Tamandua tetradactyla: one gene and its partner. Each later gene encodes a partner of the first gene's protein in a complex. Links are inferred from orthologs where the notes say so. Each region holds a gene or a part of one and is shown on either strand. Other genes may lie near its edges. The genes, in order: PFN2 and VASP.

What was found.
Region 2: the proteins of PFN2 (region 1) and VASP are in contact, whole or in part, in a crystal structure (PDB 2V8C), measured with the Mus musculus proteins. The link is inferred for Tamandua tetradactyla from reciprocal best matches to the Homo sapiens genes PFN2 and VASP. Residues at the interface, in NP_062283.1 of Mus musculus: Gly3, Trp4, Ser6, Tyr7, Asn10, Cys13, Tyr30, Trp32, Met131, Tyr134, Ser138, Phe140; in NP_033525.2 of Mus musculus: Gly165, Pro166, Pro167, Pro168, Pro169, Pro170, Gly171, Pro172, Pro173, Pro174, Pro175, Pro176.

What each region holds. Positions count from the first base shown.
Region 1 is NC_135331.1:43,205,999-43,222,150, forward strand, and holds PFN2 (profilin-2), read right to left. Parts: upstream 6,706-16,152; 5' UTR 6,625-6,705; coding exon 6,493-6,624; intron 4,395-6,492; coding exon 4,202-4,394; intron 2,373-4,201; coding exon of another isoform or gene 2,275-2,372; exon of another isoform or gene 2,049-2,274; coding exon 1,951-2,048; 3' UTR 682-1,950; downstream 1-681. UniProt on the Homo sapiens protein: Binds to actin and affects the structure of the cytoskeleton. At high concentrations, profilin prevents the polymerization of actin, whereas it enhances it at low concentrations. By binding to PIP2, it inhibits the formation of IP3 and DG.
Region 2 is NC_135342.1:15,505,587-15,520,818, reverse strand, and holds the start of VASP (vasodilator-stimulated phosphoprotein), read left to right. Parts: upstream 1-7,844; 5' UTR 7,845-8,194; coding exon 8,195-8,199; intron 8,200-9,967; exon of another isoform or gene 9,968-10,120; intron 10,121-14,961; coding exon 14,962-15,133; intron 15,134-15,214; coding exon 15,215-15,232. Other genes in the region: RTN2 (reticulon-2), read right to left, coding at 600-633. UniProt on the Homo sapiens protein: Ena/VASP proteins are actin-associated proteins involved in a range of processes dependent on cytoskeleton remodeling and cell polarity such as axon guidance, lamellipodial and filopodial dynamics, platelet activation and cell migration.

The DNA of each region.
Region 1 (16,152 bases):
AACCCACCTCCCCAGTTTTGATTAGACCCACTGACTTTTCAGCACCTTTGCTGAGCTTCTGGCTTGACAGCTCATGATAATGACTTATTTAAAGAATATTAAACTTCACATAGTTTCTAAACTTCAATGCATCCCAGGGTACAGCCATCAGTTAACATGCCACTCCAAAATCAGGAACCGCAGAAGCATCCCAATGCTCTTATATGCTCCCTAGGGAATGTCTTCTGCTCCTATGTAGGAAAATACCAGCTGGCTGACCCCAGCCTGCCAACACAGCCTCCAAGTCTAAAGTCAAAAGATGTTTCAACACAGAAGGATCCACAACTGAGCAGAAACCCTTCTTGGTTCTTGGGCCCTTTCACCACCCAGATTTCACTGGAGACCAGCCTCAAGAGGAAAATACTTATTTTCAATAAAATAAGTCAGTTTTCCTCTAATAAGCCTGAATATGAGCCTGAAATCACTGGAAGTCATTTTTAATAGATCAATGCCCATCAGAAATTCCTAGGCACTAATTTTATTTATAATAGATACTACCTGAAATGAAGTAGGCCATCAACTAAATTTTCAATTGTTAAGATTTTGTAGCTATAGCAAACTTTGGCCTATTTTGTATATTTCCACTATGTCAAAAATCAACTGTAACAGTAAGTTAATTTATATAAACAACAAGAGTCTAGATTATTTGGTTGGAATAAATTTATTTCATCTGTCTGTAAACAAGGTGTTTAATAGTTATGGCATTTTTTTAAATGCATATTAAATCAGATGAGTTAGACTGTATCCCAGATGTAACAAAGTGCAGGGAAAGAAATGGACAAATCAGCAACAAGATTTGTTTTTAAATCTGTACATTATCCACAAGGCCCAAACAATGAAAGCAAATACTAGAATATCCCTAAAGTAGTGCCATTCGAAAGAAATCCTCAGTAAGTCAGTTAAAATCCATCTCACAATAGCAACAGTTCATTTTAACAATAGTATGGCACAGAATACATGTGGGAAAAAAAAGTCATCACAAGACAGCCAAGTCCACAATAATGCAACTTCATATAAAAACTTAAGCTGCAAATAAAAATTGGTCCTATGAATAACAAACTGGACACACTCCAGATGGTTATGTTGGGACACCTAATGTCCATAATGGCAGCCTTTTACAATTTTACTAAAGAGTAGAGCTGGTGTGCAAAGAAAAAGACAGGAACCAAAAATCTGAGCTACTGTAATGATGGAATGTCCCTGGGGATTCAATCAGTATGTTTTACTGTAAAGTCATGGGAGGAAGTGCCTTTTGCTCTTGTTTTGCAGTTGTACTCTTCATATGTCCTATGGATACTATGAAAAAGTTTGTCTCTAACTCAAGTGCAACAACAATACTAAAAGCAAACTACTGCAGCTCTCAGTAGCTCATCAACAAAAAGGGTATTAATTGGTTAAATAAACCAGGCACTGCTAAGATAAGATGAAAGCAAACCAAATACTTTATGTGCAAAGGGAGGGGTGGGAAAAGAGAGGAGTAAGGAAAGATGCATGCACTTTTTCCTCCCAATCATGCGCTACAAAAGGAAGACTAAGTGAGCCAAGTAAAAGCTCAAAGTGCTGAAGACACTGATCAAATTAGAGATTGTACACTGGCACCTTGCTTAATATTAACTTATTTTAGTAATCAATATCCCATTAATTGCTAATACAAAATGATGCCCAACTTGGCATGCCCCCTCCCCCCAAATTTCAAGGTATCATGCAAATCATTATTGTGCTGCAATTATGTTGCCAGATAAGGGTTGGTTACATACAGTGATTAACATACAGATGATCCATTGGGCAAACAGGAATCATGACATTTCAAAATTGGTAAAGAAAAATTAGCCACCATCTATAGTCTGGTAGCACTGTGAACATAATTGGGTGGTGATGAAGACAGTTGCTAGGTAGATGGGGAGAGGCTGCTTACACATCAGACCTCCTCAGGTATAAAGCGAGTTCATATGCTTTCTTGTTAAGTGTGCCTCCGTGGACACCTTCCTTTCCCATGACTATAACCAATGCTGGAGTACACAAGGAAACAAAACAAAAGTGAACAGAATTATTTAAGGGGGGGGAGGGCAGAAAGAAAGACACCTTTCCCCACCAACAGAGGGATACAAAGGAGACACAGGTTCATACCCCATCACCCTGCATTGCTAATAAAGTTTCCAGAATTAAGACTCAAGCTTACAGCTAGGAAAGTTTAAGAGCAATTTTCCCCTAATACTTAAACAGTCTGCCTAGCAGCTAGAACCCAGAGTCTCTCAAGTATTTTGCCATTGAGTATGCCTTCTTATTCAATCCGCCTCCATGGACCCCTTCTTTTCCCATTACAAAGACCAAGACTGAAAGAGAAAGAAGAAAAGTGTTTCAAAAGAAGTGTTAATCAAGAAAAGTCACTTAAGTTTTAGCAGACAGAACCCAGTTTAATAAGTTAACATTAAGTTAGTTTTCCATGAACTGTCAAGCACTGAAGTCAATTAGGTCTCCAAAAAAAGATAATTTTAAAGCTAGTAATAATATGCTAAAAACAGACCAACAGTAAACCCTGGCTGTATCCTGGAAGTCTAATCAATGCAGCTGCAGAGCTCTACACAACTATCTGTACACTAGCTAGAAAAAAAAAAAAAAAGCCTGATCACTTTATCTTCAATTCTAGGGGAAAAAACATCTGGCTGATGTGGCACAAATATTAGCCACAGAAAAATAAACTTTAAAAAGTTACAGAAATTATATATTTACAAAATGTTTCCAAAATCTGAAATGCTTGATAAGTACAAACTATTAAGATTCATCAGTGAGGCTAAATGTGCCTATCACTTCCAGAGGAAAAATGAGACCAAATTTCAAATAGCCTTTTCAGTGTCATTTTGAAAGGAACAAATTACAAGTATTTAAAGCTTGTATACCTCCTGATATCCTAACTGTGCTAGCTTTGTTTTTAGCTGTCTAAAATACTGAAACAGGTTTACTACTTGTAACAACAGTTCACTATTTGTCACAACAGGTTCTTCTAGGATGCAATTCAGTTTCTCCCCAAAATGTCTGTATATGTCAAATTTTATATTCACTGCCGCTAGATGTCAGTAGTGTTATGTGGTACGTAAATCTCGGGGTTTAATGACACATGGTTGATACTTTTTTGCATTTGCCTGAGCTCAGCTAATGTTTAGAGATCTACTATTCAGAATCACCTAATCTTTCCATACAGAAACATTCATAAATATCAACTCCCACAGATTAAGCGTAACCTTTTGGACAACCATAGGGAGTCAGCAAAACCACAGCATTAAATTACAGCTCAGGACTACTTCAAATCCCTTCACATACCAGATCTGGTCTTAATATTGGATGTGCTAAGTTTGTTACCTGAGATGACAGAAACCCTCTTGATTTACACAATATTTACAAAGGTTAACACATTTAAATGTATTTGTAAATAAATCAGATGCCAGGATAAGCCTCAATTTCTAGAAAGTTTCTTTCAAAAGAGCAGTAAAAGAATCCTTTAGTGAATTAAGACTTTCTGCGATTTTGACATCAGGAGCACCAGAACTGGGGACCAATTAAACAAATTAAATGTTATTTCCTATACTTTATAAGTGTAAACCTCAGAAACATAATCTTTGAAAATATTTTACTAACAATTTTAAATATTTTAGTGAATGGGACAATTTCCTCCAAAACCATCATGCTAATTATCTCTCTCCCCAGGAAAAGAAAAGTGAACCAATTTTAATTTTTCCTTCTCTATTCTTAGTGAAAAGATTAAAATGCAAGCAAGAAAGAGAAGGAAGAGTTCCAAATATCAGAGAATTGAACTAAATTAAACAAATGATGTACAATTTAACAATCTGGATATACCACAGGATTATCACTCCACATGTCAAGCAGTTTAATGAGAAAAATTTAGATTTTAAGTTTGTAAAGCTGAAAATGAAAAAACTGATATGATACTCTGTTTTAGATTAAAGTCATAATCAGAGTCTAGGATCTATGTGCAGCTGCATACAGTAAATAAATGAAAGTAGTGCCTCCCTTCAGTGCTGGGCAGTTCTCAAAAACCACCTTAATAGCCATTATGGACTAACATCTTCATTCAAAATGTTAAAGAAACTGCTCAATAAGTTGTAATGTGGCATGCAATTTTTAACTAAAAGAGCACTTTGCTTACCTCTACCAGCTCTGCCTACCGCAACGTTGTATGTTGGCTCTCCACCTTGACTTTTTGTCCGGATGTCCATTGTGCAGTCACCATCGACATATAGACTATCTCTGATCACTGAGCACTTCTTTGCACCAAGAGTCAAACCATTGGTAAAGAAACCTTCCCGGTCTTTTCCTACAATCATATCTATTTCTATTGGCTGCCCCCAAAAAAAGAAAGAAGAAAAAGAAAAAAAAAACACATGAAGTTATAGTTAATTCCTTTCAGGTCTCAATATAACAGGAAAGATTGTACGCCAAGTTTGTACTACCACCACTATAAGACACTTCACGAATCTAAAATCAAGATTCAGTCTCAGTATTTTCCAAAAAAATTGTATTTGAATAATATTTCATGTCAGTTGTTCTGATTTCACTATTAACAGTAGTCTGCTAATTAAAAATCAACCTTTACAAAAAATTTCTCTAAATAGTTGGTAGTTGGACACTAGACAAATTGCAAACTTGAGTTATTTATAAACTGTGTCAAGTGGTGCCTGAAGGTGCTTATCTAATAGTAAAGATTCAGCTATAAACTCTTTCAACAACAGCTTGTCTATCATATTAGTAACATCACAATGTTGCTGCACCACACTTAAAAGTTGTTTGAAAGCCTGCCTAAATTAGGCCCCTGCTCTAGCAAATATGTTCCCTTTTCTACTCTGGATAGCTGGAAATATTCCCTAGGGTATGAACTTTAACAATCAGACCTCAGTGCATTTTCCAAATTCCTATTTCCTTCATCCCTTTTTTTTCTAACTACTACTCTTTGTTTCCAGTATCCCTTCCCATTTTAGTAATCAGTTTACTCTCTGGACAAAAGCAAAGAGGATTCTATGTGTAACACTGCAGTAGGCAATGGTAAAGGAATAGAGAAAATGGAGGGAGACTGGGAAAGAAACTGAGGTAGCCATCAGAACCGGAAAGGAGAAAGCATGCATTCTAAAATTCCATGAATAAGAAGGAAGGCGTCGCCCCCATCAGAACTGCAGAGTCATAGCAGGCCCCAGCCATTTCCAAGCACACTCCCGCAATCTTTCCAGCCATACAGCGGGAACTCGCACACAAAGACAAGAAGACTGTAGAGAAAAAGTTGATCATCAGATGCCAATTGTCTTTAATTGTAGCCCACAAAGGGTACAGGAGACCTGCAAGTACTACCATGAAGGACCGAGTTTTGTACCATTAAATCTTAAACCGTGTTAAGTAGTAAAGGGATAATTAGTAGCACCAATCTTAGTGTTTGGTGGGAAGAGAGAGTGGGACTAAGAAATTAGAGAATGGGCTCGTAATTCAATTTCACAATTTGAGATAGAGCCTTGGGCAGAAATAGGCAAAACAATAAGCAGCGCTGGAGGCCCGGTGACTAAATATGTCCCAAACATGTGGCAACCAAGTCAAAGCCATCAAGTCACAACAAAACCGCACTGTGAAGCATAAATCTGCATTAGTTCCTTTAATACCATCACTAAGGAGGGAGGGGCTTGGAGAAGTGAAGTGTCACCGGTCTTCCCAGATTATCAAAAACCCTAAATGCATCCCCTTTTTAGAGCTATGTTGCGTAACTGGAGATAACGGTATATCGATAAATCTCCACAGGAGGAGAGAAATCAATGGCAGTTCGCCATCTTGGAGAATTAAAAAAAAAAAAAAAAATCCCACAGTGCCAGAGCCGAAGTCGAGATTCACGAATCCACCTACGTGGTTGGCGTACATTTCTCTCAAGCCCCGGAGGCCTGGACACCAGCACATCTACGCAAAGCCGCTTCGAGAATCCCGGGGGCCGGGCCGCCTCCTCCAGCCCCGCTGCGCGGGAGGAGCACTGTCGGTACGGCGCGGTGGCCCTACGGCCCGAGGACCCCCACCCGCACCCTGAGCTCCCAGGCCCAGAACCCCCGGACCCCGTGTCCACCCTGGGACAGGCAAAGCAAACCCCGGACTTCCAGAGGTTCTGGGGAGCCGCAGAGAGCAGATAAAACACCCCCGCCCGCCCGGGGCGACCCCTCCCCCCAGCCGGGCACCCACAGCTGCACCGGGGACGCGGGGGACGCCGGGCCCCGGCAGGCGCGGGCAGTGGGGAGCCCGGCCGCCTCCTCCGACTGTCAGGGCAGCCCAGGCGAGGGGGCGTCCCCTGGCTCTGGCCTCGGCGCCCGCCTCCTCGCACACCTGCCGGCGTGGCCCTTCCTGCCTAGCCCCGGGCTGCGGCGCGGTCGGCCGGCGGGGCCGGGGATGGGGTCCGGGCCGCCCGCGGGTCCTCACCGTAATGCTCTGGAAGACGCCCCCGGCTGTGGCTGCCCAGACGTATTTGGCGTCGCAGTAGCCGACAATGGCGGCCTCCTGGCAGCAGCCATCACACATCAGGTTATCCACGTAGCTCTGCCAACCGGCCATCTTCGAGCCCTTCGCACTGCAGCGGGGACGGCGAGGAGCAGCAGGCGCAGCGGCGGCTGTGGCGGGCGGCGGCAGCGCGGGAGGAGGCGGGGCGGGGGCGGGGAGGAGGCGGCTCTGCGCAAGTACCGACCGCCCCCCTCCCCGAGGAGCTGCGGCGGGAGGACGCGGGGCCGGCAAGGAGAGGCAGCCGCCGAGAGCGCCCGGGCCAGTTGTCCACCCGCAGCCGCGAGGCCGGCTAACCAACGGCGGGAGACTGCGGAGCTGCGCTGCCCACAGCGGCGGCGATAGCGACGGCGGCTTCTCTTCAGCGCGGCACCTTTAGCTCGCCGCGGCCGGCGGAGCGTGCGCGCGTGTGCGTGTGATCCTTCCGCGGCGCCCGGACACGGAGGGTCCCGGGAAGGGAGGGGGGAGGGGCGCGGCGGGGCGCGGAGGGATACCGCTCTGGGACAATCACGGTTGCCACGTGCGAGAAGCGCTGTCTGGGAATTGCTGGGTGCCTGGGGGCGGCTGAGCCTTGGACCCGGGCGGCGGGGAGGGCGTCGCCCCCATCGCCCTCGGCGTCCTGGCGACCGCGGCGGCGGTAGGGATGTCTCGGAGTCTCCTCTGTGTTGCACCTCTTCTCTCCTTCGCCCGAAGTCTGGGATGCCGAGGTCGCGAGCCTGGGGGTCGGATCGCAGGGTTGTCGTGGTGACGGGATGCCGAGCGCTTCCCCGCCCAGTGGTGGGGGCGGCCGCCGGCAGGTAGCCCCCCAGCTTATCCCAGGCGCCCCCGTGGAACTCCTCTCTCGCAAACGCCTCTGTCCGTGGGCCGTAAAAACGACCCAGCGGGCGCGCTTCGGGGAGCTGCGATCCGAGCGGACGTTGGTGGCTGTGCGGATCCCGCCTTGTTGCCTCCTGTGGGCACAAGGAGCCGCGCGCTCTGTGGATTCTCTGCGGGGAAGAGCCCCTCGTCGCCCGTCACGTGTGGTGTGTGACTAAACACCTCCAAACCTCGAGCAGAACAAACAGCTTCCTGTGCAAACTGGTAGAAACTAGGAGAGTTACTGATGAGCTGAAGAGGTCGCCGAAAATACAAAGAACACAAATCTAGGGAAGGTTTCCCTGAATGAACACCGTGGCATGTCTGCTCCTGAAGGGTGAAGTGGCTTCGGGACCCGGGTCTGGGGAAGGCTCGTGTGTAAGGGTTGCTGGCGGGTGATCTGGGTGCCGCCGCACAGCGAATTCAGGGACCCCCGGGCGCCGCGGCCGGACGCCCCCAGCAGTGACCTCAGTCTCAGGGTGTGCCGTCTGCCGGTCATGGGGCGGAGGACGTGCCTTTAGAGCCCTGAGAATTGATAGTCATCTTTAGTGTCATCGTGTAGGGTCACAATCTGACAGGACTTCGAGACTGTGGCTCAGTTAGGAAAGGTGCTAAAGCAGTGTCATTGATTCTGGGGTTTTGTGTTTTTCTCCTTTGAAATGCACAGCTACCAAAGGGAGGGAGGAGGAAAAACGCACACCGGGAGAGCCCCAAGTCAGGGACCTGGCAGGCTGGAACAATTATTTTTCTCTTGCTTTGACGACACAGTATCTAAATGGTATAAAATTGTGCCCCGAATGTCATTTCTGTACGTGTGCCTCTCGCCTGAGTTAGTTACATATAATCGGTTCTTTTTAGTACTCTGCATTTTGTGGTGGTGGTTGATGGTGTTAATCCTTCACTCAGCATTTTATTGTCTTAAAAGTTTTGATAGTTTCAGGGTGCTGATGACACGGATATGTTGTTCACTTCGTGAAAATTCATCAGGCTGTATTTTTATGATTTGCTCACCTTTTTCTATGTACATTATGATTCAGAAAATTTAAACAGTAAGCAAAAAAGGTAACAATGGAAAAGAAAAATGAGTGATGACGGTTTAAAGAGGTGTATTGAAATTGGGTTTTGTTTAGTGCTGTATTCTGAATTCTTAAGGTTTCGTTTCTGGGCTTTGTTATCCTCTTGTTATAGCAAAAAGTTGGAAATAATGGCATTCCGTTCCCCTTTTTTATTGTTGGCTTTAAAACAGCATAAGAATTAGATCAACTGAATTAATACTCTCAAGTCTCAAAAGATTCTAAAACATATCTATTGGATAAAATATTCATAAAAGTTTAGAGTTCCAATCTTTATTTTTCCTGTATTTTTCAAGATGTAACAATATTTTTAAAATTACTGTTTTACTTTTCCAACATAGTGTTATTATTTTCAGGATGGCGTACAAGTAAAATTTAAGCAACTATGAAAAATATATTTCCTACCATAGACTAGCCGGATTTTTACAGTTTTTTTTTTTTTATATATATATATTCAGAAGGGGCCCCTTTACTGTCTCTGTTTTCAATACTGTGATTAAACAATCCTGTGCCTGTTTTCCTTGGAGCCACAGTTTTTCTTTCTGGTATCCTTTCTTATTTTTCACTTCTATACGATGATGGGTTTCCTATTTCATGTAACTGTTGCTTACCTCAACATGTTTCAAAAAGTATGGATATAGAGGTAGAATACTGAGTCTTAAGAAGATAGGTAAACTGAAGTTACTAATAAGGAGAAAAGAGGAATTACTGACTTTCTCTACTCTTTTCGAGGTAACTGGTTCCTAGAGCACTAACAGCAATGTCTGGGCAGAAGCTGAGAAAAGTCCTGGCTCTCCTAATCCAGATTCTGGGAATGATACAGCAATCAGCATGTTTAAATTTGAAGGGTGTTATACTTTCTTCCCAAAGTTATTTTATTCTTATTTAGTAAGACAAAAGCTGTGTAGTAAACCAGATTCTACAATGTGTAAGTCAAGTAGTGCCTGAGCCATTTAAATCCATAAGTAAATCATTTGACATTTTAGCAAAACACAAAGAAACAAGTTGTTACTATTAAAATATACTCAAAGTTGTAAAGGATGGAGTAAGAACTAAAACTGCAGAATGTAATTATCCAAAACCTAGTAAGACTATAATTAATTTACCTCAAATCTTTAACTACATTTTTCACGTCCATACTTCAGTTTTTGAAAAAGTGCTTTAATTACAAAAGTAAAAAAAAAAATGAAGTTTTAAAAATGAAGAAAAACCACCCTTATTCCCACAATAAAAATGCTATCTTGTGAGTGTATTCATTCATTGTTTTAATTATGATTTTTATAGTAAAGCCCAAGGAGTACCCATCATTCTAGATTTGTCCATTTTACCCTAAAATTCTGTGCATTCTTGCATTCTATACTTTGGGGCTACTTGATTAGGGACATACAAGTTAAAATTGTTATAGGAATTTAGAATTATCGTTAAGTAAGGACCCTCTTTATCACTAATACTTCTTTTGTCTTAAAATCTGTTTTGTCAAATATTGATGTGAGTATCCCAGTTCTCTTTTTATTGCCATTTATGTGGTATGCCCCCCCACTCCACCTTTTTTTTTAACTCTCAGATTTTCCCTGTCGTTAAATTTTAGATGTTGTGAATTTCACATAGCTGGATTTTTACTTTTTATCTAATTTGACATTTACAATCATCGTGATTATGGACATATATTTGGACTTGTTTGGAGAAACTTTATTTGTCCCGCTATTTCTATGTTTATTTCTTTTCCTTTCCTTTTTAAAAATTGACATTGTGTGTGCGTGTATCTTTTTTCATCTACTCATTTGGAATTTATATGTAATATTCATTCATTGTTACCCTTGAAATTTTGCCATGCATATTTAATAGAACAAAGCTTAATTTTAATTAATATGTTAAACCCTCCCACTAGACAGTCTAAAGGTTTTAAAATCTAGCTCCCTCTCTCCAAACTATTATTATTTTGAACAGATTTTTGTTTATGGCTGTATTTATACATTTATGTTTGCTATTTTACTTAATTACCATTCTTTCTCATAGACCATTATGTTACCATTTTACTTCTTCCTGACACATATCTTTTAGAAGTTCCTTTAATGGAATTTTCTTGGTGTTATCTTAATTTGCCAAGCTGCTATGACAAATACCACACAATGAGTTGGTTTAAACAAAAGCATTATCAGCTCACAGTTTCAGAGGTCCTAAGTCCAAAATTGAGTCATTGGTAAGGCCATTCTTTCTCCCCACTGTCGATAGTGTTCTGCCTCTGGCTTGCCACGAGTCTTGGGGTTGCTAGACTTGGATTTCTGTCTCCTGTCACCTGGTGATCTCTTTCTCCTTGAGTTTGCTCTTCTGGTTTCCTCTGAATTTCTGCTTCTGACTCCTCTGGCTCACTGCATCCAAATTTCTTCTGCTTATGAAGGGCTGGTAATGTGGATTAAGTAATATGCTGATTCAGTTGGGCCACACCTTACCTAATGACATGTCTTCAGAGGGTCCTATTACAAATGAATTCATACTCATGAGTACACAGATTAAGAACATGTCTTTTGGGGATATGTAATTCAGTCTCTGCAGTGGTAAACTCTGATTTTGCTTATCTGAAAACGTCTTTCATTCTTGAAATATTACTTTCATTCTTGACAAATAGGTTGGATCTACAGTGTTAGACTGACACTCTGAAGATATTCTATTTTCTTATCATTTTCATCATTGCTACTATTCTTTTAAGTATGATCTGTCCTCTCTAGCTACATTTGAAATCTACTCTTGTCTTTGCTGCTCTATAGTTTCACTTTGATGTTTCTAGGTCTGGATCTCTTTTATTCTACTTGAGAAAGTAGATTTATACCTATCATCACTTCTGAAAATTCTCTGTCATTATCTCTTCAAAATACTCCTTTTCCTATTCTGTTCTCCTCTCTTAGGGCTCAGAATAATTTTTTTTCTTCTGTTTTCTGTGTCTTTTAGTTTCTTTCATATTTTCCATCTTCTTGCCTCTTGTGCTGCATTCTGGATAATTTTTTCAGTTATATGTTCCAGTTCAATCTTCAACTATGTTTAACCTGTTGTTAAACTCCTGCATTAAGACTTTTTGATTTCTAAAAATATATTTTTCATTTTTAGAAGTTCCATTTGATTTTTATGTATATCTTTCTCATCATTCCTGATAGTCTTTTATTTTTTGCCCGTCTTTGTGGTTCCATATTTTATTTCTTTAAACATTTCTTACCTAGTTATTCTATGTCCTTATCTGGCAATTCAAATATCTAAATAGTTTGTTTCTTATCCCACCCACAGTGGCTTACCTGCTTAAATACTTTATGATCTTAGATTGTGAATTTACATTTGTTTGATCTTAATGTGTGAAAAATTGTAATAGCCTAAATTGTGGATGCTTTCTTTCAAGGATGATTTGTATCTGCTTCTGCTATGTCCCAAGGATTGTTAACAACCTGGGACTACTTTAATCTCTTTTGATGGTACCCCCTAAATACAGGAGCATCTGGTTCAGCTCCCCACCGCAGAGCTGCTATTGACATTTGCACTTGGGACAACTCCATTTCTCCAACCTGCTCACACACCCCTTGTGCTGGTTTGGAACTGTTATGTACTTCAGAAAAGCCATGTTCTTTTAATCCTAATCCAGTTGTGTGGGGGTAGACCGATTGTTTGGGTGTGACCTTTTGAATAGGTTATTTCCATGGACTAGTGACCCTACCATTCAAGATGGGCCTTAATTAGTTTACTGGAGTCCTTAAAAGAGCTCATGGAGAGAAAGAAATCTCAAATCCAATACAAAAATCAGACACCTAGACACACATGTTTGGAGATGCAGACAGAAATACTCTGGGCACTAAAATTAATAGCTAGAACTTGGAGAGGGCCAACACAGAGAACAGAGAGAGTGAACCAAGTGACTAAGAGATGCTAAGCTAAGAGACAAAACTTAGAGTTGCCCTGTGGAAGCTAAGGACCCACAGATCCTTAGAGAGAAAGCTACTGGAATCAGAACCACTTGAAACCAGAAGCCAGGAGAGAAGGACAGCAGACATTGCCATGTGAAAGAAAAACTCAGATGACATCAGTCTTTCTTCAGAGTGAAGGTATCTTTTACTGAATGCCTTAGTTTGGACATTTTCATGCCTTAGAACTAACTGTAAATCTGTAACTTAATAAATGCCCTTTGTAAAAGCCAATCCATTTTTGGTATATTGCATTCTGGCAATATTAGCAAACTGAAACATCCCTGCTCCAGTTTTTGCTCAAGGTTTCTAATTCTTAAGAACCAAGAAAAACATTTAAATAAGTTTTTAGTCCAGTTATCTAATTGTTTTTGCAGAAGGAAGATTCCTCTATATTGCCTAGTCCACTATAATGCAAGAAGCAGAAAACCTACCCACAATTCTGTATCTTGCATGTTTTATTCAATAACTACAAACTGAGCATACATTACAGGCTTGGGCACTGGTTGGTGCTTTTTACTGGCACAAGTAACGTGGGAAGATGAGCAACTTTAAGAAGGGAACTATTTAGCTGATTTTGGACACTGAGTTTTCAGTAGTTGTGAGACATCTAAGTGACAATGTTCATCAGACAGTTAGATATGCAGCCCTGTACTTTAGAAGTAACATTTGGATTGCAGATAACTTCTCAGGAATGAGCAAAGGAAGAAGAGTTTACAATGGAAATTGAATATGAGTACTCAGAAATCAGGAGCGTGTAGGATCATGGATGACAAGGAAGGGAATTTTTCCAAATGATAGGAATGGTCAAAAGTAGCAAATTATACTGAGTAGTCAGATAAGAGGAGGATTGAAAGATGATCATTGGATTAGCAAAGGGACACTTACGGAACTTGGCAAGCACAGCTTTAGGTGAATGATGGGAAAGTAAACCGAATTGCAATAGGTGAACGAAAATATATAGAAGGCAAGAGGAGCTGAGACTTGCCTCTTTGAAGTATTTAGACACTAAAGGGGAGAATAACAGGGAGGTAAAAGTTAGGGAGGGACATATGAGTAAGAGAGAATGCTGTGTTAAACATGGTAAAGGTTGAAGGGATGGCACTAGTAGAGAAGTAGGAAAGTAGAATAAATCATCGCTCAGGGCTCAGGGATAGTAGGAAAGCCTGAGATCCAAAGCACAGGATAGGACTGGCCTTACACAAAAGATGACACCTTCATTATAATAGGAGTATATAGATTTAATTTTTCTTTTTGTTTTAGCATAGCATACATGCAGAAAAGTGAGCCAGTTTTCACAAAATGAACTCCCACAGTTAATCAGCTTCCAGATGAAGAAATAGGACAATATCAGTGCCCTTTCTATTTTTTTCTTTGTTAGAAAAGTTGTATAAGATACAGGATTCCCATACACCCACACCATCAACACCTTGCATGGGTGTGGAACATTTGTTACAATTGATGAAAGCACATTTCTATAATTGTATTATTAGTTAAAATCCGTGGTTTAACTTAGGGTTCACTCTTTGTGTAGTGTAGTTCCATTAATTTTTTTAAAAATTTTATCCTGTTGCCATATATACAAGCTGACATTTTCCCTTTTAATCATATTCAGATATATATTTCAGTGCTGTTAATTGCATTCACAATGCTGTGCTACCATCACCACCATCCATTACCAAAACATTTCCATCATTCCAAACAGGAGCCCTTTATATTTCAAGCCTCCGCTTCCCATTTCCTATCCCCACCCCATTACCTGGTAACCTTTATTCTAGATTCTGACTCTATGAGTTTGCTTATTCTGATTGTTTTAAATCAGTGAGATCTTACAATATTTGTCCTCTTGCATCTGGTTTATTTCACTCAACATGATGTCTTCAGTGCTCATCCAGGTTGTCACAGGCATTAGGACTCCTTTCCTTTTTAATACCTGAATAACATTCTGTTGTATGTATATATCACATTTTATTTACCCATTCTTCAGTTGATGGACACTTGGGCTGCTTCCATCTTTTGACAACTGCGAATAATGCCACTGTGAGCATCATTGTGTAAATACCTGTCCAAGTCCCCGCTTTCAATTATTTTGGATATATAACTAGTAGTTCGATTGCCAGGTCATGTGGTAGTTCTACACTTAGCTTTCTGAGGAACTGCCAAACTGTCTTCCACAACAGTTGCACATTTTACATTGCCACCAGCGATGATTGATGTTCCTATTTCTCTGCATCTTCTCCAACGTTCACTTACCTTTTTTTAAAATTAGCAGCCATTATAATGGCTGTGAAATGGCATCTCATTCTGTTTTTGATTTGCGTTTCCCTGATGGCTAATGGTTTTGATCATCTTTTCATGTGCTTTCTGGCCATTTGTATATCTTCTTTGGAAAACTGTCTATTCAAGTCTATTGCCAGGTATGCTTTTTCTTGCCCCCGTCTAGTCACTATTGTCCCCTCAGAATTTTAACTGCTTTTCTGATTTCTAATTAGAAGTCATAGAATAATTTTGCCTGTTTTTGAACTTTATTTAGTGGGCTCACACAGTGGGCATTTCGTGACTCTATCTGGCTTCTTTTGCTTAAATATGTTTGTGAGATTCATCTATATTGTTTCACATAGTTGTAGCTTGCTCACTCTCATTGCTGTATGGTATTCCATTGTGTGATGATACCTTAATTTATCCATTCTGCTGTTGCTGGGCATTTTGGTTGTTTGCAAATTTGGGCTATTATAAATATGAACATTTGTGTGTGTGTGTGTTTTTGTTTTGTTCTTTAGTATACATAGGTAAACTTATGCCTTGGAGTGGAATTGTTGGCTCATAGGTTCAGGTTTAGTAGATACTGACAGTCGACATTCCAAAGAGATCATCTGTTTTACCTTGACCCTAGCAATGTAGGAGGGTTTCAATTGTTCCACATTCTCACCAACACTTATTATTGTTTGTCTTCTTCATTTTAACCATTCTGCTGAGTGTGTATTCCAGATGACAAAGGAGAGACTCTTTCTCATGTTTGTTAACCATTAGTATACCTTTTCTTATGAATAATTACACAAATCTGTTGCTATATGCTTATCACTTTTAATGACTGTGATAATCCTTCAAGTGGGTGTATCATGTTACCCTTTCTTATTGAAAAATCAAATAATTTAAGAAATAATCATCAAAGAAAAATTTGTGATCTGTGTGGTTCATTTACAAAGACATGAAAAACCAATGGACACGCTTTTAGAAATATGTCTTAAAAACAAGGTTTCAAATATAAAGTATGGCAATTAATTCAATTAATCAAATGTGGTAGACATTGTTGCTTTGCCTTCCCAGTACCTATAATTCATTCTTGCTAAAAATCATAAATTTTCTTGGGACAGTGGCAAATCTAGTTTGAAGTGCCTGCGCAGATGCCCTTCCAACTGCAGAGGCCATGTGATCCATTCAGCTGAAACAGAAGTTACTGGATGGCTTTGTGGAAAACTTTTGTTTTATTGATTTTTTTTAAAGGACAGCTCAAATGGCAGTATAGGATTTTTACCTTTAACCTGTCCACTTTCTTGTCCAAATTGTGATGCAGCATCAGAGGTGGTACAGATATTTGTGACTACGGTAAGGATAATGGAGCAGGAAGGGAGAAGCGACCTGCTTTCTCAAGTGTCTCTACCAAAGTGCAACCAACCCTACCCTAACTGATACAATAGGACAGCCATTTTCTTACC
Region 2 (15,232 bases), on another chromosome or scaffold:
CTCAGCGGGGGAATCAGAGGCTCGCAGCAGCGTGGGCCTCCGGCAGTGTTACCGTTAATAAGTGGTACAGCCTGCTAAGGAAGGACCTAGTGGCTCCAATGCAGGGATGGTTGCCGCTCGTGGACAGGGGCTGGACGGTTGGAGGATTTGAACAATTTGGTCCAGGTTGCCTCCAAGTCTGGGCCCAAAAGGAAGGTGGGATGCGAAGACAGGAGGTGGGGGATAGACACCTCACCCCCATCCTGACTCTACCGCTCCACTCCACACCTTCTTCCCTCCGGCTGCGGCCAGCACCAGGGAGATGGGACAGCTCCCCGCGCTGGTCCTCAAGCCCCGGCAGGGTCCGGAAGCACATCCCAGCGCCAGTGCGCCCCACGCCAGCTTTTCAGGTTCCCACCTCCGCCCCGTCTCACCCAGGTCCTCCGGGTCAGGCCGCCCCCACCGCCGCCAGAGCGCGGGGGGAGGGGAGCGCTTCCTTTGTCTCCTTCGTCTCCTTCCCCCATCCCAGCTCTCCCGGGGCCGCGCGCGGAGAGGATACCAAGGAGGGCCCCACCCGGGCCTCCGGGCCCCACACCAGGCCCGAGCCTCGCTCTACTCACTGCAGTGGGCGAAGACCGGCAGGACCTGCCCCATGGCCCCCCTCGGGCCTGCATCGGGACCCCCGCCCACTCCGGCCGCGCCGCCCTGGGCCCAGGGCCGCGAGCGCTCATCTCCGTCGCGCCCACGCCGCAGCCTCCATCCTCTTCCTTTTCTTGGACCGCTCCAGCCGCCGCCGCCGCCGCCCTCTGTACGGCGCGGCTGGGGCGGGCGGGGCAGCGGTGGGGAAAGGCACTGCAGCGCGGGGACCGTGGGCGGAGCCAGAGAAACAGGAGGGGCGGAGCCGGTGGGCGGGCGAGGGGGCGGGGAAGCACCGAGGCGCGTTAGGGTTGAGGGTGTGGTGGGGGGCGGGGAAAGCGCGGGAGGGGGAAGGACGAAGGGCTGTGTCTTGACTTTAGGGGGCGTGCCTTTGGGGGTCCGAAGCTGGGGTAGGTTGAGGGCTGGGAGAGAGAAAGAGGAAGGAGCCTAGGCAAAGAGAATGGAGGAGTGCACCTCAGAGTGGGCTGGGGCGCTAGGGGCAACACCGATAAATTGATGGAAAGGTTCTAATAATCGGAGGTAGGCTCCGAACCGAGATTAGCAGAGGGAGTGGAGCCAGGGAAAGGAAGAGGTAAGAAACTACTCAGTTTCGAGGCAAAGACAAAGAGGAGGAGCTAAAAGATGGGAGGAGCTACGCCAATTTAGAATATTCAGATAATTGGGCGGGGTCATGCCTGAGAAGTCAGAGCAGAGGCCGGGCTGAGAGGGAATAGGAAAGAAAACGGAAGGGAGGGGACCCGAATGTGGACTTAACCTGGAGAGAGGAGGCCCCCTGAGACAAGCCAGAGTATGGGGGCTGGGCCTGGGGTTAAGAGGCGGGGGTAGAGACGGGGCTAGCATTGCAAAATTAGAGGGGGTCTGAGGCCCTAGAATTGAATGGACAGACTAGACCCGGAAAGAAACAAGAGGTCAGAAGGGAGGGATCTAACCAAAAAAGTCAGGGATTTTTGAAGTTGGGGGCGGCATCGCTGAGGCGGGAGGAGTTTGAATAGAACAGGGCTGGGGATCAGAAGCCAAAAGCGTGTTGTGGTTAACAGCACGGATTCTAGAATTCGATTCCCGATGACACCAAGTCATCGGCTATGAGTTGGTGTTTCTTTATGACTCTTGTCTCTTCTCTAAATTGAAAACAATGATGTAAAATAGTGTGTGGCACATTGTAAGTGTTAGACCATCGTTTTCTATTATTGTGGCTTTCCTGACCCAGATCCCAAAGCCAGCCCGCTTTGAAGATGCGGGAGAGCAGAGTTCCTTCAAGCAACTCGACTTGAAGTACAGGTCAGGGGCATAGGAAGGGAATTTAGGTGCTTTAAAATCTCATAACAGAGCGAATTAATGGCGGGGGTGGGACGGTTAGGTGGGGACAGCTGTAGAGGATGATCCCACCAGAGAAGGATGGCGGCCCTCACCCGCCTGCAGGAGGGTCTCCTCTGGCCAGCTCCCAAGGAAGAGGAGGAGACGGAGCGCAGCACACCGGGCGGGCCTCAGTCCCTCTAGGCGGCGCCGCGTTGCGCTCAGCGGCTACATGGGGGTGTGGCGGCGGCGTGGGGCCTGCGCTTCGAGGAGAGCGCTGAGCAGGGCTGGAGCGCGCTCATGGAGGATGCGCAGTGCGCTTGGCTAGCACTGCCCGAGCTGCCTCCTGGCTGGGCCTTCTTTGCGGTCTGGACCGCCACCGCGGGGCGCGAGCCGCCCTTTTTGGCGCTCGCCGCCTGTCGGGCCACGTGCACGAAGCGCTGGGCCCGGCGCCCTGGGAGCCAGAGATGTGCTCCCAGCGGTGCGCCGCGCCTTCCTGAGCGCGGACGCGCGCTTGCGTGGGCTCTGGCCCCGCGGCGAGCCGGGCGGCTCCACCGCCTAAGCGCTGTTGGTTTCCCGGCGCTTCCTGTATCTGGCGCACTGCGGTGACTCCCGCGCGGAAGTGAACCGTGCCGGCGCCCTGGTCTTCAGCACCAAGGACTATCAGCCCATCCAACCCCGAGAGCGCGAGCGCATCCACGACGCGGGCTGCACCGTCTGCCGCCGGCGCCTAGAGGGCTTTCTTGCCGTGTCGCGAGCGCTGGGCGACTTTGCCTACAAGGAGGCTCCAGGGAGGCCCCCCGAACTGCAACTCGTGTCCGCGGAGCCCGAGGTGGCCGCCTTGGCCCGCCAGACAGAGGACGGCGTATGGGACGTTATATATGTCAGAGCCCTGGCAGAACTGGTGGCCTCGCCTCCGCTTGGGCCTGGCGCCGGAGCTTCTCTGCGCGCAGCTGTTGGCACGTGTCTGTGCAAGGTCCTGGGGGTAGAGTGTGGAGGGGACGGCATTTGGGATAAATGGGGCTTGGCGCTGGGAGGAGGGGTTTTTCTAGAAAGCAGGAGAAAAACTAGAGGAGCGGTGGAATTTCACTAAAGGGCGTGGCCTGTTGGAAAGGGGCAGAGCCAAATTACGCCGAGGAGAGAGCGTGAGGGATGCCTTGAATTTGGATGGGAGAGTAGTGGGGTTTAGATTGGTTAGTGAGAGAGATTTAAGAGAAAGCGTGGTCTTTTGGAAAGGGGAGAAGCAGGGATGGAGGGCGGGGCCTGAGAAATGATGGGTACCTGATGAAGGAAGAGCAGTTGGACTGCAAAGTGGGTGGAGCTCCGGGGAAAGGGCGTGGCCCTCTGCTACAGGGCGGGACTAGGACAGCTAGACAGTGCTGAAAGGTTCTGGTAGAAGGAGACCCGCAGATACCCGGGCCTTCAGCGAAATGGGGATCACGGATTCGGGAGGAGGGCCCAGAACAGCAGGACTGTAAGGAAGGCGGAGACCCGGCCTGGGGTTTTCAACCCTCTCCCGCCGGGCTCCCTTTTCTTCTCTACCTTCGCCAGGGCAGCCTGGATAACAAGACCTGCATCCTCGTTTGCTTCCCGGGGGCGTCCGGGCCTTGTGAGGAGGCGATCCGGGTGGAGCTAGCGCTGTACACCGCCCTGGGACACAGGGTCGCGGGTGAGTTAGCTCCGGGAGCCCAATGGGAGGGAAGGTCGGCAAACAGGGGTTCCCCCATTACTCTCATCTCCCTCTCAGAGCTGTGCACCCTTGCCCAGGAGACCCCCAGCCTGAACACGATTTTCAGGACTCTGGCCTCGGAGGACATCCTGGATTTACCCCCCAGGGGGAGGGCTGGACTGTAAGTGAGTGGAGGTGGGTTGGGGAGGGGTTTGGGGGAGGGGTAGTAGGTGGAGGGTCCCCTCCTGAGGGCCTCCCCCTGCTCCCCAGGGCCACTGTGATCGCTGAAGCATATGCTCAGATCTGTCACTCAGAAGAGTGCTGGGAGGTAAGGCCCCTGTGTTCTTGAATGTTTCTCTTAGTCCCTCTCTCCCCTTTAGAGATGGGGAAAGTGAGGCCACAGAGGAAAAGCAACTTGCCTGCTCTATTAGTAAATTCCTACCCCTGACCCGGAAGCACTTTGCCTCAAAGTGGCATAACAATGGGCTACAGAAGAGAAAGAACTTCCCTTCCAAAAAATACACCTCCTGGAAATGCTCTGTAAAGCCCCATCATCCCAGGCACAGCCCCCTGGAATGTCTTATCCCCTAGGAATAAGATAAATTCTGGAAATGGTAACAAGGACCCCAAGGCCTGGGGTGCCCTGCAGAGACTATCAAGATGACATCCTGAGGATGGATGACCCAGGTCTCCAATGGCTAGAGGAGAGGTGGCACGGTGGGGTGTGTGGGGCATCAGGGAGGAAATGAAAGGGGGGGAAGCTGGAAATCACATCCCAGAGGACTTTGCATGATTGGGGGAGGGCATCTGGTTTTTTGTTCTTCAGACAAAGGGGGATTGTTGATGGGTTTTCAGTAGCCAAGGATGGTATTGGTCACGATTGTTTGATTTGTGAATGATAGAAACCCAAGGCAACCAGGGTAAAGCAAACAGGAAATTTACTGGGTCACACACAAAACTGGAAAGCTCAGGAACTTAAGGTGGCTGGAGCCATTTCTCAGATGATCTCATCAGGGACCCATCTCTTAGCTCTCTGTTCTGAGGTAGTAGAGAGCTGCAGCACATCCCACCAGCTTACACTCGTGGTGGAGAGAGTGGGCCTGTTTCCCAGAAGTTCTAGCAATCCTCCCAGAGCTGGTTCTCATTGACCAAACTGGGCCACATGCATGACTGGTTACTATGCCTCTTACTGTGTCACGTGCCCAACCTAGCACTGGGGATTGGGGTCCTCTCCACCCAAACCTGATTGATTGAGAGATGGGAAAGGGTGGCCCTTCAAAGGAAAAGAGGGTGCTGCTTCCAGAAGACAGGCAAGTGGAGGCTGAGAAGGCAGGAAAGGGTTCCTATTCACTGTCTCCCACATTTTGTGTTACAGCTGGGACAGAGCAGGGCTGGGGAGCCGACCAGCACCCATCAGGCTCTGCCTTGGGTCTGGAGGCCTGACAGCTGTCATCCTTTGGAGACTCTCCACCCAGCTGGGGCCTCAACGGAACTAAGGAAGAAAACCGCTCCCTTCCCCAGCTACATGGACCAACGGAAGAGAGACAGGCTGATGGAAGAACCCCAGAATGCTTATTTCCCTCTCTCCTAGTTCCCCATCAATGAAAAGTCAGTTCAATAACCTTCCCTTTCCTTCCCATTCTTCCTGTGGTTTTGAGGGGAGGGTAGAAGGGCAGTTTTTTTTTTTCTTTATTATTAAATTTTAATTACAGAGGCAATTCAAAATGCATTTTTTTTCTTGTAGAAAACAAACATCATTTACGCAGTCACTTGGCAAATATGCATTGGCCATACATATTTGTGAGTCCTTGCTCACACCATGAAGAAGGTAGATCCACCGAGCCCTACTCCTGGGGACCTCCTGGGGGGGAGGGGGAGGTGGGACAGCAAACAGGCGTGCCAAATAAATAAGGTCATCTCAGACACTGATGAGTGTCATGGGGAAAATAAAACAAGGTGGTGTGATAAAAAGGCTAGGGGAGCTACTTTGGTTGTTTAAATTGGTATTCATCTATTTCCTCAATGGGTAATACATTCACTTAGTTTGAAATTCAGAAGGTGCAAAATGGCATAGTGTGAGAAGTCTGATGGAAAAGGAGCCAGATATGCGAACAGCCCAGGGAATGGTATTCCAAGGTTCAGGTAACAGCCAATGCAGAGGCTGGCATTTTGGAGATAAGGTTTGGGATCTCTGTGACTACCAAGGACCCCATAATCCCATCCGTATTTCCAAGGGTAAACTACAGTCATGAGTCAGGAGTGAACTTTTCCAGGTTTTTCATTCTGCCTGTAAACATATGTACATGTACTCTAGCAAATATATGATACCTTTGGTGTTTCCTTGCTTGGTTTCAGACTGTATCACTTGGCAACTTACTTTTCCCACTTGACAATATGTTGGAGACTTTTTCCATGTTATTGCACGCATTCTTTTAGCGGCTGTACAGTGCTTCAGAGAAGATGTGCAATGGTTTAGCTATCTCTCTTCCTGTTGCTGGACATTTAGGCTATTTCCAATTCCTTGCCCTAAGAGCATTGCTGCCACAAAGATCAGGCTCCTTGTGTTTATAAGCAAAGATTTCTCCAGTGCAGGAGTCTTGCTCCCCATTTTGTATGACACTTGAGCTAAGAATGCTTTTTATATTTCTACACAGTTGTTTGAAAAATAATAATAATATGCAAAAGAGATCTCATGTGAACCACAAAGCTCAAATATTTACTATATTAGACCTTTATAGAAAAAGTTGGCTGACCCCAGAAGTGCCACCCTTCCCATTTCACAGATGGAAAAGTTGAGACCCAGAGAAAAGACTTGCCAAAGTCACACAGAACTGGGGTTCTCATTCAGTTGGATAAATGTTTGTTTGCCCCAGCTCAGACCTTGCTGGGCTGGGTGAGGCCCAGAAGTCGATCAAGTCTACCCCTGCCCCCAAAGAACTCACAGCCCCAGGAAACACAGTTACACACAATTACAATCTAGGTGCTTCAGGGCTCAAGGTCCCCAGGGCAGCTGGAGGAGGGGACGAGGTTACTCGATTCCCCAGAGAAGAATCAAAGTAATAGCTTGGTCTAGAAGGGTGAGCCCCTAGGTGACGGACCCGACTGCATCCTAGCCTAGCTTGGACAAGGGCTGGGAAGGTTGATTTCCTCACCTGCTCTGTTGGGCCACGAGAATTTTGGTTTCACAATCACACCTCGGCTTTTGCAAGCGGGCCATAATCCAAATTTGTCCCTTCCTCCGGGCCTCAGTTTACCCGTTTGTTAAGGTCGAACTCCCGATTTGCCAGACGCCAGCCCTCCGGCTAAGGCACTTCACGCGGGCCAGGGGGCGCTCTTTGGAGGGTGTGGTCACATCGGTGACGTCACTCGGGGCGGGGCCTGCGGGACCCGCTGCGGAAGCCTAGGACTGTGTTTGAGCTCAGCCCGGGGCCGGCGCATTGGAGAGGGAGGTCTCAGGAACCGGCACCCGGGAGGATCTCCCGACCTCTGGGCTCTCCCGGCTGCTGGGATGATCCGTCTGTCCTCTGCGAGCGAAACTGAATCAGGGCGGGGTGTACCTGTGGAAAGGGCCAAAGGCCGGAGTCCCAGCCCGAGCCAGGGCCGGCGTCGGCCCCCACCCCACCCCCGCCCGCCTCGCCAACCACTCAACTCTACCCCCACCCCCGACCCTGCGGCTGTGAGTCAGCGACCGGCCGCGCCCCCTCGGCCCACTTCCTCCTCATCTTCCTCCCGCGGGCGAGGCGGGCGGGGGGCGGTGAGAGGGGCGGGGCCCTGCCCACCCGTCCCCTTCCTGCGCGGGGATCGGGGGGCACCCCTCAGTAACCCCTTATAGCTTGGCAGTGAAGACAAGAGATGCTGAGGGTCCTAAGGTGGCGTTTCAGGACGAAAATGTGAGGAAGTCACATTTTCCTTAACAGAGGGTTCTGCTTCCTTCTCCCCCACCCCCAAAATTGAGCCTAAGATAAAGAAATGGGGAGATCGATGGGGGGAGGGTGAGAAGGAAGAAATCGTGCCCCCATTTAGATCCCCCTAAGAAGTCCTATCCTGGGGGAGAACTACGGAACAAGGAAGGACCCTTTCCCTCCACCTAGCATCACCCCAATTTGGGGGTGACCCCCAGAGTGCATCCCTGTGCAATAACTTCGGGGCAGAGGGAAATAGCGGAAGTGGAGGGTCTACGTTGCCCTTTTAAGCGCCCTCCACCCCTCCCCTCTCCGCCTCGCGGTGGCCGCGGCCCCTTTAAGGCGCGGGGCATTGTGGGTGCGGGGAGTGGAATTTTGGAACGAAATGTAGCGAAGAGAAGTACAGTAGTAAGAGTAACGTTGTAGCCGCTGCCCGCCCGGGGGGCGCGCCGGGGAGGGCACGCCGCACCCGCTTTCTGCTTCAGGGACCCCCATCAAACCCCCAAGGGAAGGAGGCGCCCGAGGACCCGCCCCATCCCGGTCCACGTTCCCCCCAGGAAGCCGGACTCTATGGGGCGGGACCCTGGGGGAGACTGAGCAGAACGTGGAGCCAGCCCCGAACCCCTGAACCTCCAGCCAGGGGCGCCCCGGGAGTCCCCAGCCGGTGGGCGCGCCACCCGCCAGCCGAGCAGCCATGAGGTGAGCAGTGAACTGCCTCCGACCTTCCCCGCCCTGCGCGGGCTCCCCGCCCCGCCTTTGTCCCCCCTCCCCCAGCTCTCTCCGGGATGCAATTTGGGGACCCGGCACTGGGAGCCTCAGATTTGGAGCCGAACCCCTTTGGACGAGCTCCAAGTTATGGTCAGTTCCCCATGACTTCCAAGACTCGGTGTGGTGCCGGTGAGGTTCTCTCTTAGGAGCACTCAGATTTGGGGGCTCTCCGAATTTTAGATTTCCTCCCGGGATCTCCAAGTTGGCAGATTCTCCCTGCACGGATACCCAGAATTTAGGCAGGGCGTAGAGTCTCCCCCGAACCTCAACTTGAAGTCTGGGAGGGATTGTGGGGGGCTGGGTTGGGGGATCCGGGGTCTCGGAAGAGAGGCTAAGACATAGAGCCCGGTTACTGGGGTTCCTCTTTACTTGGTGCTGGAAAAAGTCTCCCCAAGTGGAAACGCGCTCCCTAACTTCAGGGTACTTCTTAATCCCTTGCATTTTGGGGGGGCGGGGCGGGAGGACATTCAGAACCTCCTGTGGAGAGGAGGTTGGTGCGGATGGACGGACCCGGATGCAGCCTCGAGGGTCTGGTTGGGACTCCCCTTTCCCGTCCCTCTCGGTCCAGAATCGTTCCGTGCCCTAGACGGAGCGAGCGCCGAGGGCGGCTCCCGGGCTTGGGGCCAGAAGGGCGGTCCCTCTCCCCCACCTGCGCGGCTCTGGGGAAGGAGGGGCGTCGCGGCAGCTGGGGGACGGGGGCCTTTGTCTTCCTGACTCACCTGTCGAGACAGCTGGTGTGGGGGGCGGGCTAGAAGCGCCCTGGGCCGGCTGCTTTCCCCACCCCGACCCCTCCCTCGTCACCCGTAACCCTCCTCCTGCCAGGCTCTCGGGAGCTATGAGGTTGGTGGGGGGGTGCAAGAAAGCTTCAAGGTCATAGCCCTCTCCCCCTGGGACCCAGGCTTGCCAGATAGTTCCAGCTGTCTTCTTAGGAATTTAATCCTGGGATGGGGGTGGCCCAAGGGATCCAGAGATTTTGTTTTACCAGCCCCCACCCCCCCAAAAAAAGTCCTGAACTCACCTGACGCCGGGAACTGGGGCGGGCTGCCCAGACTAGCCCACCATACTCTCCACCTCCCCCCCTGCCCCCGGCCCCCCATCCTAATTCCCTTGGGGCTGCAGCCTGACAATACTATCTCCCTTCCTCCAAGCTCTCAGAGACTTCCTGCCCCAAAGCCCCCAGCCTGAGGGGGAGGCCCCTGGGGACAGCTGGGGATTAACCCCCGGGTGCCCACACACTCCCATTTCCCCCACACTCCTGCCCTCTGACATCGGGGTGGCATTCCTGTTTATGACCATTAGGGCCGCCCCCTCCGGTTTGAGCCTTCTGATGGGAAAGGGATGGTTTGGAGCCAGGGGGGGCACCCATTGACACCCTCAAGGCTTCCTGCCTATCCTTCCCCACCCCCCACCCCCAGTGACATCCATGTCCCCTCTAGGTCTGCCCAGGATGGGGGGAAGGGTACGGTGTGCAGTAGCTAGGCTCTCTTCACCCTCTTCCCCCGGGACTCCCCTCTCCCACTGCCCCCAGCCCCACCCCCACCCGCGCGTTTCCGGTCCCAGGCACCGAGGAAGGCGGATGGCGGATGTCCGAGTTAGTGCTGCCTCACTCGCTGCGAGACCGTAAAAGGGCAGGAGCAGCAGCAGCAGCGCCCGGGCCGGGCCTCTGCCCCCCCCACCCCACCCCTGGCCCTCCCAAAGGGGCCCCCTCCTGCTGGGGCTGTGGCCAAACCTCTCGCCTGCTGGGGGTGGGGTGGAGTGGCAGGCCGAAGTTGAAGAGGGTCACTCCTACTTCCTGAGGGGTCTCCTCTGCAGGCCACTAAATCCACCTTCTTGGGCTGTACCTCTTCTGCAGGTACAGCTGGGATTCCAGACCCAGGTCCCTAACCCCAGCTGGGGAAACTGAGGCACAGAGAGACAGGCCTGGCTCAAGGTCACTCTGCAAATCCTAGGCAATTGGTAGGGGTGGGGCGGTGGGTGGGGTGGGGTGCTGGGGTCCATTCCTCAGATTTCTGGGTTGTTTGCCTGGGTTCACTTGTGGGGGCAGCTGGAAGGGAGGATGTTAAAATGGAAAATTACAAGATAAATTGCTTTTTCTCCCAGTTTGACAAATATTTGTCGAATGTCTGCTGTGTACCGTACTCTGAGCTGGGATTCTGGGAGGGCCAGAAAGGGGGAACAGAGTTCTGAGCATCTGGGGTGGAAGGAACTCAGGAAGAAATCGCATTCATTTTGTTCCTTTTCCAATAGTGGTAATTATTATTATTTTTATGAATTAAAAAGAAGGGCCTTTGATCACACATCTGCTTTGTGCTAGGTACTGTACTAGGTGCCTGATTCTTCTTAATCCTCACAAAAGTCCTAAGAGCTTGGCACTTTTACGACCCTCTCACCCCAGTTTATAGATGGGAAAACTGAGAAACTGAGAAGCTAAGCAAATTGCCTGTGGAAGTTAAACTGTTTGGAAGTGGCCAAGCAGAGTTTGAATCCAGGGCTGTCTGTCTCCCAACTATCATGTTATTAAAGAAAGGGGAAAATAAAACCTTTATTTATTAAGTACAAATAACCCACTTTCACTATAGGAACACTTAAGATAATACAGATAAATAAAAAGAAATGGGCAGGAAACTTTACCTTCCTGTTCACTTGTGGGAAACTGAGGGCCATGGGGGAAGGGAGACTAGAATGAAGACACAAGCCCCACAGGCAGGGCTGGGACTCCCGATCTGGTTTCCTACCCCAGGTTGCCTCAACTCCAGGAAGATTTGCGGTTTGGGAAGCTTTTGTGTATGGGGGAGGGAGGGCAGGAGGAGGGGGTGTCACAAGTTTTATGACATAAGGAGGCTATGGGGTAAGTCTTGGGCAGGGGATAAAGGGAAGAGCAGGACTCTAGTCTGGAAAGTTTGAGTAAACCTGAGTCTCTGTGCTTGATTACCTCCAATGATTAGGAAGCTCTTTCCCTCCCGTTCCAACTCCCAATTCTCTTGTGTGGAGGGTGTGCTGTGTTCTAGGCCCTGTGTGGAGGGTTTTTGCCCATTACCTTTTTCTTTTTTTACATGGGCAGGCACTGGGAATTGAACATGGTCTCTGGCATAGCAGGTGAGAACTCTGCATGCTGAGCTACCATGGCCCGCCCCCCATGACCTGTTTTAATCCTCATTACAAGTACAATGAATTATGGTTTCCGGGACTGGAAACCATAATTTTCTGAGGTTCCGAGAGGTGAAGCCATACAACAGGGAGGTAACTTGAATCTTTCTGCATCCACCCAGTGCTAGAGTTTTTCAAAATGTGACTTCTGGCGGGGGTGGGGGGGTGGGGGCAGGTCCTGGTCACCCCAGGGGTTAAGGCTCTTCCATGTCGCCACATCGAGGGGTGTGAGACCACTGGAGCCAGGTGGATCCTGCCTGCTTTTATCTCGCCACCACTACCGCCCCCCCGCCCCCCACTTCCTGGCTGTACGATTTTCTGTTTTGCCTTTAACCAGTATATAGAGTTTTAGCTTTTTACACTTAAGTAACGACTTACTTTAAACAGGTAATACCAGCCCAAGGTAGCATAATCATCAAGCAGTTCAAATGGGTAAAGAGTGCAAAATACCTGTTTCCTCCCTCCCCAGGGCCCCAAGCTCCTTCTCAGAAGGCAGCCACAGTTCATCTCCTGCGAAGCAGCCTCTGCGTATATCACCACTCTGCAGAAGTATTTATATCTCCCCACCTTTTTTTTAAACCTCTGATACACACCACTTTGTATCTTGCCTTTTAGAAATTGTAACTTGGCTGTTTTCTCACCTATAAATGAGGTTAAGAACTTGGGTGGATGTGCATTCAAATCCTAGCCCCTCTGCTTACTTGCTCTGTGGCCTGGGGAAGGTGTCTTCACCTCTCTGTGCCCACATTTCTTCATCTGTCAAGAGGGTATAACGTCAGAGCTGAGCTCCTGAGGTGGTTGTGAGGTTCAGTAGGGAAATCAGAGCCTAGGGTCTAGAACAGTGTCTGGGACCCAGTCAAACTGAAAAATGGCAGCTGACGTGAAGAACTTTTCCAGTTATTTAACAGACGTGTTTATGTAACTACTAGGTGCTGTGTGCTATTCTAGGTCCTGGGGCACAGCAGTGGACAAAAGGGACAAATGTGGACCTGGCATTCTGGTGGGAGAGGGAATTAGTAAACAGAAATACCATATCAAATAAGGATGGCTACTATGAAGAAACGTACAGCTGGGGTGAGAGAGGAGAGTATCCATTCTAGACAGGGTAGTCAGGGGGGCTTCTCAGAAGAGGCGGCATCTAAACAGAAACCCGAAGGAGAGGGAAATCTAGGCTTGAGGAAGAACAAGTCCATAGGCCCTGAGGCAGGAGTGTATCCGGCATGTTGAAGGAGCAGCACAGAGGCCAGTGGGACTGGCCTAGAGCAAGCCAGTGTGGGGGGCAGATCAAAAAGATATGGGGGTAGGGAGGCAACAGAGTGCACAGGCAGTGGTTCCTCTGCAGGAGCCAGGAGACCGTCAGGGGTACTTTTGAGAAGAGGAGGGATATAATGGGATTTGTATTTTCACAGGATCCCTCTGTGCTGATGGGGACACACTGACTTGGCGAGGACAGGAGCAGTCCCCGGGTCCCGCAGCAGGCGCCCAGCTCTCCGGCCAAGCCAGAGACTCAGCAGAGCAGGGCCCCCTGGGAGAGCAAAGTGCAGTCAGGGTGGGGCCATGCCAGCAGCCCTGGGCATCTGGCCAGTCTGCCCTGGGCGTGGGTGGCAGGTGTGGGCGAGGCCATAGCCCTGCCAGGGGCATTGCAGAAATGGCCCCCGAGGCTGTGCTTGTCATGAAGCAGCACCTGGTGAGGGGTAGGGATCCTGCAGTTCCTGGTAGTTTATACACTGTGGCCTTGGAAACCCAGGAGCCTGGGTTCAAATCCTTCTGTACTCACTAGCTGTGTGGTTTGGGCAAGTCACTCAGCCTCTCTGGGCCCCAGTTTGCAGTCCACACCTGCAAAATGAGGGCAGAATAATAGTGCTCACTTCAGTGAGAATGACATGAGTGGTTCTGGGTAAAGGGTTTAGAAGCCTGAAGCACTTAAGAAGAGGGAACTGCCACAATTATGTAAACTTGGTGTGAGGGGTCAGCTGCCGACCAAATGACCTGGTTTTGGTTCTATTGAGGGTCTGTCCCTGCCCTGTTCCTGGGGGCTGGGGCTGGGGAGGGAGGCCTTTCACAGCCATGGCACCCCAGGGCACCCTGTACGCACCCTCCCTCAACAGAGCCATTATAGGGGTATAATTTTTCTCCCCTGAAACCTCCAACCACCAACTTCCTCTTTTCAGGAAAAAACCTGTGGGGGTGGGGCGGGGGCCAGAGCTTCCCCTTGGTCTGTGTGTGACTTTGGGCAAGTCACTTCCCCAGCGAGTTTCCTCACTGGGGGGAGGGGAGGATTGAACTTCCCTGCAGAGACTGGTGGGGGGTCCCAGGGATGCAGGTGCCTGTCCAGGATGTGCCAGGAGTGACTCGCCCCCACTGTGCCTGGGAATGGGACTGTCGCAGGACTGTCACCTCCCTAGTGTGCAAGGCAGGGGAGATGCCTTCCAGAGTGGGAGGGGCGCTTGCCTGAGTCACAGGGAAGAGGTGGCTCAGTAGAGGTTTGAACTCAGATGTAGTGGACATCAGCTCCTGAACTCTGCACCGCTGGCAGTTTACTGTGCCCTCCCTGCAAGGCTGAGTCAAACACCGCCTTGTCCAGGAAGCCCTCCCTGACTCCCAGATTGGGGCAAGCGCCTCCTCTGGGCTCTCCAGACTCCCCCAAGTTGTCCGTGTCTGGGCACGGCTCTTTCTCCCACACTGGACTGTGAGCCCCAAGAAGGTGGGAGCAGGGCTGTCGTGTTCACTGCCATGTTGTCCCCAGCATGGGCCTGACATGGACAAGAGGCTCAGGTAGTATCTGCTGAATGGCTCTTAGGGTGCTGGAGGGCCCTTTGAATGAGGTAGGCAGTGGGAACCTGACTTCCTCTGGGGGAGATCATCCCTGACTTGCTAAGGACCTCACCCCCTTTGCCCTGCTCAGCCCCAGCTTCCTCCTCTGATGAGTGGAGACCAAGGAGGGGCCAGGCACCCCAGAGCAGATAAGGAAACTGAGGTCCCAAGAGCTGCCCAGGGCTCCTGCCCCCAACCACACCACTCTCCTTTTCCTGTGGGTTCCATTATCTGCATCTCTCTCCAACTCTGTGTCTGTCTTGGTCTCTCTGCTCATCTCCCTGTCTTTCTCCATCTCTGTCTCCCCATCTTTATCTCGGTGTGTCTGGCTCTTTCTCCAACCCCCTGCCTGTTCATCTGGTTTCCCCCCATCCCTCCCCTGTCCATGTTTCAGTCTGTCTCTCCCCCCTCTCTCCCTGTTTGTCTGTCTGTCTCTACCTCTCCCTGTCTCTTTCTCACCATCTGTCTCCCTCCTTCCTGTTCCGTTTTGTCTCTTTATTTCTCTCTTTTCATCTGTTTTCTTCTCCCAGTCTCTGTCTATCCCTTGGTCTGTTCTGTGGCTGTGTGAGGGCCTCCCCATCTGCCCCTCTACCCTTGCCTGTGTGTGTGTGTGTCCGTGTCCTCCTCCTACACTTTCTCTTGCAGTCTTGCAGGGAGACCCAGAGGGAGAAGGTGAGTGGCCCCATGGCTAACTGGCCCCTGGCCCTTCTCCCCCTGCCCCCTTCCCGGCAGTGAGATGGTCATCTGCTCCAGCCGGGCCACCGTGATGCTCTACGATGACAGCAACAAGCGATGGCTGCCTGCCGGCACGGGCCCCCAGGCCTTCAGCCGCGTGCAGATCTACCACAACCCCACAGCCAATTCCTTCCGCGTCGTTGGCCGAAAGATGCAGCCTGACCAGCAGGTGAAGCCGCCTTCCCTCCCCTGGGGCCACCGCCCCCTGCCCCCGACCCCCACCCCTCACCCTGCCGTCCCCTCCTACCAGGTGGTCATCAACTGTGCC